2 linked regions of the Anolis sagrei genome follow. The protein of the gene in region 2 purifies or fractionates together with the protein of the main gene of each other region. This does not show direct contact. Links are inferred from orthologs where the notes say so. Each region holds a gene or a part of one and is shown on either strand. Other genes may lie near its edges. The genes, in order: ENAH and ZYX.

What was found.
Region 1: the proteins of ZYX (region 2) and ENAH purify together in Homo sapiens (co-immunoprecipitation; 4 studies listed by BioGRID and IntAct, counting the BioPlex papers as one, with this or other methods). This does not show direct contact. The link is inferred for Anolis sagrei from reciprocal best matches to the Homo sapiens genes ZYX and ENAH.

What each region holds. Positions count from the first base shown.
Region 1 is NC_090021.1:39,444,792-39,448,700, forward strand, and holds the start of ENAH (protein enabled homolog), read right to left. Parts: upstream 2,465-3,909; 5' UTR 2,018-2,464; coding exon 2,013-2,017; intron 1-2,012. UniProt on the Homo sapiens protein: Ena/VASP proteins are actin-associated proteins involved in a range of processes dependent on cytoskeleton remodeling and cell polarity such as axon guidance and lamellipodial and filopodial dynamics in migrating cells.
Region 2 is NC_090022.1:196,437,618-196,441,526, forward strand, and holds the start of ZYX (zyxin), read right to left. Parts: upstream 2,901-3,909; 5' UTR 2,701-2,900; intron 1-2,700. UniProt on the Homo sapiens protein: Adhesion plaque protein. Binds alpha-actinin and the CRP protein. Important for targeting TES and ENA/VASP family members to focal adhesions and for the formation of actin-rich structures.

The sequences.
Region 1 (3,909 bases), on a different chromosome or scaffold from region 2:
TGCAGAATGCAAAACAGAGGAGCCTCCTCCCTCTCCCCCCCCCCTCCTTCGCGAGTGTTTCCAGGGGAAATGAACCCTTTTCTTCTCCAGGGTTCATGCAGGGAGAAGGAGGACAGGCATGCCTCCTTCGATAGGGAGACCAAAACAAAACCTAAATACAAATATTCGAGATTCCCAAAGCATTGTGTGAGCGCTTTCTCTCTCTCTCTCTCTCTCTCTCCCCCCCCCCCCCCAATTCCTCCTATTTATCGATTACACAAAAGACAAAACCCAGCAGGGACTGCTGCATTGCAACACACGGCTTTTTCCTCGTCTCCACCTTGAATTCGGCAACTCTACGAGGTGATTCCGAGTCTGGTTTCCCAAAGCGAATCCTAAAAGGACGCTGGAAGAAGCAGCCTGGCCCTCCTCCTCCTCCTCGCCCCCCGCCCAAAGCAAAACGCATCCATGCCGAATCCCCCTCCCGTTAATAAATGAATGGCTCTCCCTCTTTCCTTCCTTCCTTCCTTCCTCCCTCCCTCCCTCCCTCCTGCGCACCAACCAGCCAACCCTCTCCTCCTTCCAGCCCTGGCTTGCAACAAAAGCCCCGCAAAAAAGCCAGAGAGATGAGCCATGATGATCCCCCACGAACACAGCAGTCGTCGCCTGCTCTGCCTCGACCGGCAAAACACACACAAGAACTTCCCCCACTTTCCATGCAAAGGAACAATGGGAAAGAGGAGGAGGAGGAGGAGGAGGAAGACCCGACAATAACAGGAATGGGGATACAACGCAATTCAGTCGATGGGGGATGAATTGAATGGCCGGACTGCGCGAAAGGGCTCCCCTTTCTGCTCCTTGCACCCCTTTGCTTCCAAACACAGCCCAGACCCCCATTAAGCCCTCCCCGAAATGGCGTTTCCCAGTCCAGAAGCCCCCACTTCCCTATTAAACCCCTCACTGAATACCTCATTGGGGGTTCCCAGTCCAGAGGCCCCATATTCCTGTTCAAGTCCCTATTGAATATCTCATTGGAGTTTCCCAGTCCATATTCTTAGTCAACCCCCAATGGAATACCTCATTGGGTTTTCCTAGTCCAGATACCCCCATATCCCTATTAAACCCCTTATTGACTACCTCATTGGAGTTTCCCAATCCAGAGGCCCCCTTATTCCTATTAACCCCTATTGTATATCTCTGGGTTTTCCCAGTGCAGAGCCCCCCATAGCCCTATTAAACCCTCTTTTGAACACCTTATTGGGTTTCCCAGTCCAAAGGCCCCATGTTGCTATTAAACCCTCTATTTAATATCTCATTGGAGTTTCCCAATCCAGAGGCCCCCTAATTCCTATTAACCCCCTATTGTATACTTCTAGGTTTCCCCAGCCCAGAGGCCCCCATGTCCCTATCAACCCCCCTATTGAATACCTCATTGGGTTTTCCCAGTCCAGAGCCCCCATATCCCTATTCAAACCCCCTATTGAACACCTTATTGGGGTTTCCCAGATCAGAGGCCCCATATTCCTATTATATCCCCTATTGAACACCTTATTGGGGTTTCCCACTAGAGGCCCCATGTTCCTATTAAACCCCCTATTGAACACCTTATTGGGGTTTCCCAGACCAGAGGCCCCCATATCCCTATCAAACCCCCTATTGAATACCTCTTTGGGTTTTCCCACTCCAGAGTCCTTATTCCTATTAACCCCCTATTGTGTATCTCTGGGTTTCCCCAGTCCAGAGGCCCCCATGTTCCTATTAAACCCCGTATTGAACACCTTATTGGGGTTTCCCAGACCAGAGGCCCCCATATTCCTATCAAACCCCCTACTGAATACTTCCTTGGGTTTCCTAGTCCAATCCTCTCCCACAAGAACCCCTTCCCTCTCCCCAGTTAGGACCAGCCCCCCATTAAACACACACGGTGCCTCCCTCCCCCCCCCTTCTCCTCCTCCATAATGGCTTCCCTCCTATTGATCAAGTCAAGGAGCCCCTTCCTCCTCCTCCTCCCCCTCCTCCTTCCTCTGTCTTACCTCATGTTGCTGCCCAAGGTCCGGGCGGGGGGCGCCTTCCCCCCAGGCCCAGCTCCTGCCTGTCTTCCTTCCTCTTCCTCTTCTCAATGGGAGCGGGAGGCCAAAGGAGGAAAAGGAGCGGAGGCAAGGGTCCCTCTCTCTCTCCTTCCTTTCTCTCTCTCTCTCTCTCTTTCTGCTCAGGCGCCAGCCAGTCCCTGCCTTGGCAACCCTCCCTCCGCCGGCCACAGCGGGGAGTCCGAAAGGAAGGAGGGAGGGAGGGAAGAAAGGAAAGAAGAGCGCGGAGGGAGGGAGGGGGAGAGAGAGGCGACCCTCGAGGCGCCGCGAGGATTACGCGGGAGAACCCCGGCTTTCGGGGAGGGGAGGGGAGAGGAAGGGGAGAGGAGAAAGAAAGGAAGGAAGGAAGGGAGCAAGGCAGGCGGCGGAGAGACCGGCTTCTCAGGGGGAGGGGAGGGGGCTGCAAGGCGAGGGAGGGGCCAGGCCTCCGGAGCAGGCGCGCCGAGGGGGCGGGGCCAGGGGCAAGCCGCGCCTATTGGACCTGCTCTGCATTCTCCGTGCATTCCATGCGGGATCTCAAAAGGGGGGGAGGGGGCGCCCAGAGGTGGGCTCGCCCAATCCGCGCGGGAGGCAAGCAGGCTCCTCCGCCCGGCGTTGCCACCGCGATGAGCACGCTCTCTCGCGCCCCCCCTGCCGGCCGCTCTCCGTATCGCTTCCCTTTTTTTTTGCGCACTACTTACCTAGCCGCGGGTCGGTCAGTAGGTACACCGTGCTGCTCACGTCCCTCCTGACTGAGCGCATCTGCACCGTGGAGTGTGCACGCAGCCTTGGCACTGCTCCATCTGCCGTGGAGTCCATCGCAGCTGCGGTGTGAGGAGGCACACCGGCACTCTTTGGAAAAGGAGGCCAAATTCTTTCAAAACTACAGCCAGTCCCCAAGTTACGAACCAGATAGGTTCTGTGGGTTGGATTTGTGTGTAAGTCGGAACAGGTACATTTTTAAGTGTAACTCCAGCCATATATGTATAATATATTTATTTTTAAAAAACACTTCTATAATCTTTCAAAATATTTTGTATTAGTCTATTGTTGTTGTTGTTCATTCGTTCAGTCGTCTCCGACTTTCCGTGACCTCATGGACCAGCCCACGCCAGAGCTCCCTGTTGGCCGTCACCACCCCCAGCTCCTTCAAGGTCAGTCCAGTCACTTCAAGGATGCCATCCATCCATCTTGGCCTTGGTACTCTTCCCGGGAGAAGACTAAAACCTTGTAAAATTACAATTGATTGATTGGTACAATTTAACCCGCTGTGCTACCTGCAGTAGCACAAGCAGGTTAAACTGCTAGCTGCAGGAAATCTAACCAGAAGGTTGAAACTTCAAAGCCACAAGTTGGGGTGAGCTCCCAACTGCCAGCCCTAGCTTCTGCCAACCTAACAATTTTAAAGCATGAAATGCAAGTAGATCAATAGTTACCACCTTGGCAGGAAGGTAAAAGGGCGCCCCATGCAGACATGCTGGCAACACAATCGGAGATGTCTATGGACAACAGGCTCCTTGGCATGGGAGAATGGAGCAAGAGCACCTCCCCATGGCTGGAGTTGAGCATCGCCTCTAGACACCGGATATGAAAAAAAGGGGAAGGCCTTTACCTTTGTCTGTGTTGTATGCTGTTGTTCACTGTGTGTAAAAGGCATTGAATGTTTGCTTCATATGTGTATTGTAATCCGCTCTGAGTCCGTCCAGGGAGATAAAGGGGAATATAAATAAAGTGTATTATTATTATTATTATTATTATTATTATTATTATTGAGGACCTCCTTGCGCCTCTAGGCATAGCAACTGCTTCCCTCCTGGGTGAATCTATGTTGTAGCATGACAATAAATAAAGAACAACATTTTGA
Region 2 (3,909 bases):
TGAGGGGACATCTGGTGTTGCAATAACACTATGTAACACAATTTTTGTTCCAGAGTTATAAATGTTATTTCCTAATTCGTTCTATCATAAAAACATGAGAAAAGTTTATTAGCTTCAAAAACTTTGTTTTGGTGAGACATCCTGCTGCAGCACATTTTATGATAGTTTTTCAATGAATATCTCATCGAGTCTCAACCAATTCAACATAGTTTCTGGCAGCCACAAAAACAAAGTTTCTGGAGTAGAACAACTATGGGCCCTTCAACACAGCCCTATATCCCAGAATATCAAGGCAGAAAATCCCACAATATCTGCTTTGAACTGGGTTATCTAAGTCCACACTCAGATAATGTGGGATTTTCTGCCTTGATATTCTGGGAAATAGGGCTGTGTGGAAGGGCCCTACTTTCAAAGTACATCAGACACAATAAAACAAAAAAATAACACTTTCAACCTGGGAACATAATGTTTTTCAGATTTTGTTACATAGTATAATCTGGTGGGATGCTCTGTTGGCCAAGTCAGAAAAGAAAGAAAAAAGTACCTTGGCAAAGATATACCTGCAGAGAAGAGAAGTGAAAGGAAGGCCTACAGTCACAAGCCCTTCACACCCACAGGCCTTAAATCAAGAAAGTAAAAGGAAGAAGTAAGCGCACTCTCCAGGAGGAAGGCCACCCGCAGGAATGGGGGGGGGGGGAGTCCTTCTCCTTACCCAAGTCTATCTATACATCTGGAAAAATGGCTCAGGAGAGGGCCTCAGAGAGAGAGAGAAGGAGATACCTGCCTGTTACACACCACTGTATAAAATCCACATTGAATGGAATTATATGGCAATGTGGATTCAGATAAACCAATTCAAAGCAGATATTGTCAATTATCTGCCTTGATATCCTGGGTTACACGGCTGTGTGGAAGGGCCCTTTGAGTTAAAAGCTTGCAACAGTCCCCGCCTCTCAACTTTCACCAGCTGCCAAGCTTTTACAAGAGAAAGGAGGAGACTTGAGGTTGGAGGTATTTCCCTTGAGGAGGAGGAGGGGAGGATATGTCTGGCAAGGAAGAAACAGGCATCCTGAGGCCCCTTCCACACAGCTGAATAAAATCCCACATTATCTTCTTTGAACTGGAATATATGGCAGCGTGAACTCAGAGCCCTTCCACACAGCCATATAATCCAGAATATCAAGACAGAATAACCCACAATATATGCTTTGAACTGGGTTATTAGAGTCCACATTGTCATATATTCCAGTTCAAAGCAAATAACATTGGATTTTATTCAACTGTGTGGTGCTTTAGGGCCCTTCCAGAGAGGCCCTATATCCCAGGATCTGATCCCAGTTTTTCTCTTTATCCCAGATTATCTGGCAGTGCACACTCATATAATGCAGTCTAATGCAGAAAACCTGCGATCAGATCCTGGGATGTAGGGCTTGCCTGGAAGTGCCCTTGGATAACTTAGAGCCCTTCCACACAGCCATATAACCCAGAATATCAAGGCAGAAAATCCAACAATATCTGCTTTGAACAGGGTTATCTAAGGCCCCATCCACACAGCTGAATAAGATTCCACATTATTTGCTTTGAACTGGGATATGTGGCAGTGTGGACTCAGATAACTCAAGTACAAAGGAGATATTGTGTGTTTTTCTGCCTTGATACAGCTGTGTGGAAGAGCCCTTAGTCCAGTGGTTCTCAACCTGTGGGTCCCCAGATGTTTTGGCCTTCAACTCCCAGAAATCCTAACAGGTGGTAAACTGGCTGGGATTTCTGGGAGTTGTACGCCAAAACACCTGGGGACCCACAGGTTGAGAAACACTGCCTTAGTCCATACTGTCATATATCCCAGTCCAAAGCAGGTAATGTGGGATTTTATTCAGCTGTGTAAAAGGAGTCCCAGTTCAGAGTGGATATTGTGGGATTTTCTGCCTTGATATTCTGGGCTATAGGGCTGCCTGGGAGGGCCCTTCCACACAGACCTATATCCCAGAATATCAAGGCAGAAAATACCTTTTTTTCTAAATGTGGACTCAGATAACCCAGTTCAAAGCAGATATTGTAGTATTTTCTGCCTTGATATTCTGGGTTATAGGGCTGCCTGGGAGGGCCCTTCTACACAGCCCTATATCCCAGAATATCAAGGCAGAAAATCCCTTTTTTCCAAATGTGGACTCAGATAACCCAGTTCAAAGTGATATTGTGGGATTTTCTGCCTTGATATTCTAGGTTATAGGGTTGCCTGGGAGGGCCCTTCCACACAGCCCTATATCCCAGAATATCAAGGCAGGAAACCCCACATTGTCTGGGTGTGGACTCAGATAACTCAGCTCAAAGCAGATATTGTGGTATTTTCTGCCTTGATATTCTGGGTTATAGGGCTGTGTGTAAGGGTCCTGAAACTCAGGCTGTCCAGCTGCTTGGGCCTCCAACTCCCAGAATGCCTGACCATTCAACAAGCCGGCGAGGGCTTCTGGGAGTTGGAGGCGCACAGCTGGAGTTTGGAGAGTGCCTGGTGTGGCGCGTGCATGGAGTAGCCTCGCTTAAGCCCTTCCTCTCAGCACGAAAGCGCGCTCAAGGAAGAAGACTTTGGAGGAAAAGGCGCCTTCGGAGGGACGGGACAGAGGAAGAGGAGAACAGCCCGGCCCCCTCGCCTTTTCAGCCCCGGAACCCCCGAAGTATGAGGCGAAGCGCAGCCTGGCTTACCTTGAAGACGGTGGTCCCAAGAGGAGGGCTTTGCGCGCGCCTGTGCGCCTGAGGAGGAGAGAGAGTGCTTGGAAGGGTCTCGCGGCCAGGCAGTGCCAGCCCTCACACTCCGGCGCGCGACTTTCCCAAGCGCTGCCCGGCGGCGGGGCTGAGAGGAAGTTCGGGAAGGGGCGGCCCTCAGGAGGAGGAGGAGGAGGAGGGAAAAGGAGGAGGAGGAGGGTCCCCAGAACTCCTCACTTTCTCCCTCGCTCGGCGGAGGGGAGCCTCGCCCGGCCCCAGCCGCGCTTTGACCATAAAAGGAGAGAGGCCGCGCCGACCCAACAGCTGAGCTCACTCCTCCGGGAATGTGGCAAACCGGGGAGGCAGAGGTTGCGAAAAAAGGAGGGAAGGCAAGAAAGAAGAGGAGGAGAAGGAGGAGGAAGAAGAGGAGAAGGAAGAGGGGGGGGGGAGACAGCTTCCTCTTTGCCTCCTCCTCAAAAAAGGGGTGTCTCTTCTCATACACACACACACAGACACCCCCCTTCCTTTCCTTGAAGGCCACCCTTGGGATTTTGTAGTGTTACTTATTAGATCCTCACTATTTCTGAACTATTTCTGCAACAGCAGACTGGTTCAAGATTGGGAAAGGCGTACGGCGGGGTTGTATACTCTCACTCAACCTATTCAACTTGTATGCAGAACACATCATGTGTGTTCTGCATACAAGTTGAATAGGCTGGGGTAAAAAATGCTGGAAGAAACATTAACAATCTTAAATATGCAGATGATACCACTTTGATGGCCGAAAGCCTTCTCACCAAGGTGAAAGTGCAAAAGCTGGGTTGCAGTTAAACATTTAAAAAACTATGATTATGTCAGCAAGACTGATTGATAACTGGCAAATAGAGGGAGAAAACGTGGAGGCAGTGACAGACTTTGTATTTCTAGGAGCAAAGATTACTGCAGATGCAGACTGCAGCCAGGAAATCAGGAAGCACTTACTTCTTGGGAGGAGAGCAATGTCCAATCTCGATGAAACAGTCAAGAGTAGAGACATCACACTGGCAACAAAGATCCGCATATTTAAAGCAATGGTATTCCCCTTGGTCACCTACGGATGTGAGAGCTGGACCATAGGGAAGGCTGAGCGAAGGAAGATAGACGCTTTTGAACTGTGGTGTTGGAGGAAAGTGCTGAGAGTGCCTTGGACCGCGAGAAGATCCAACCAGT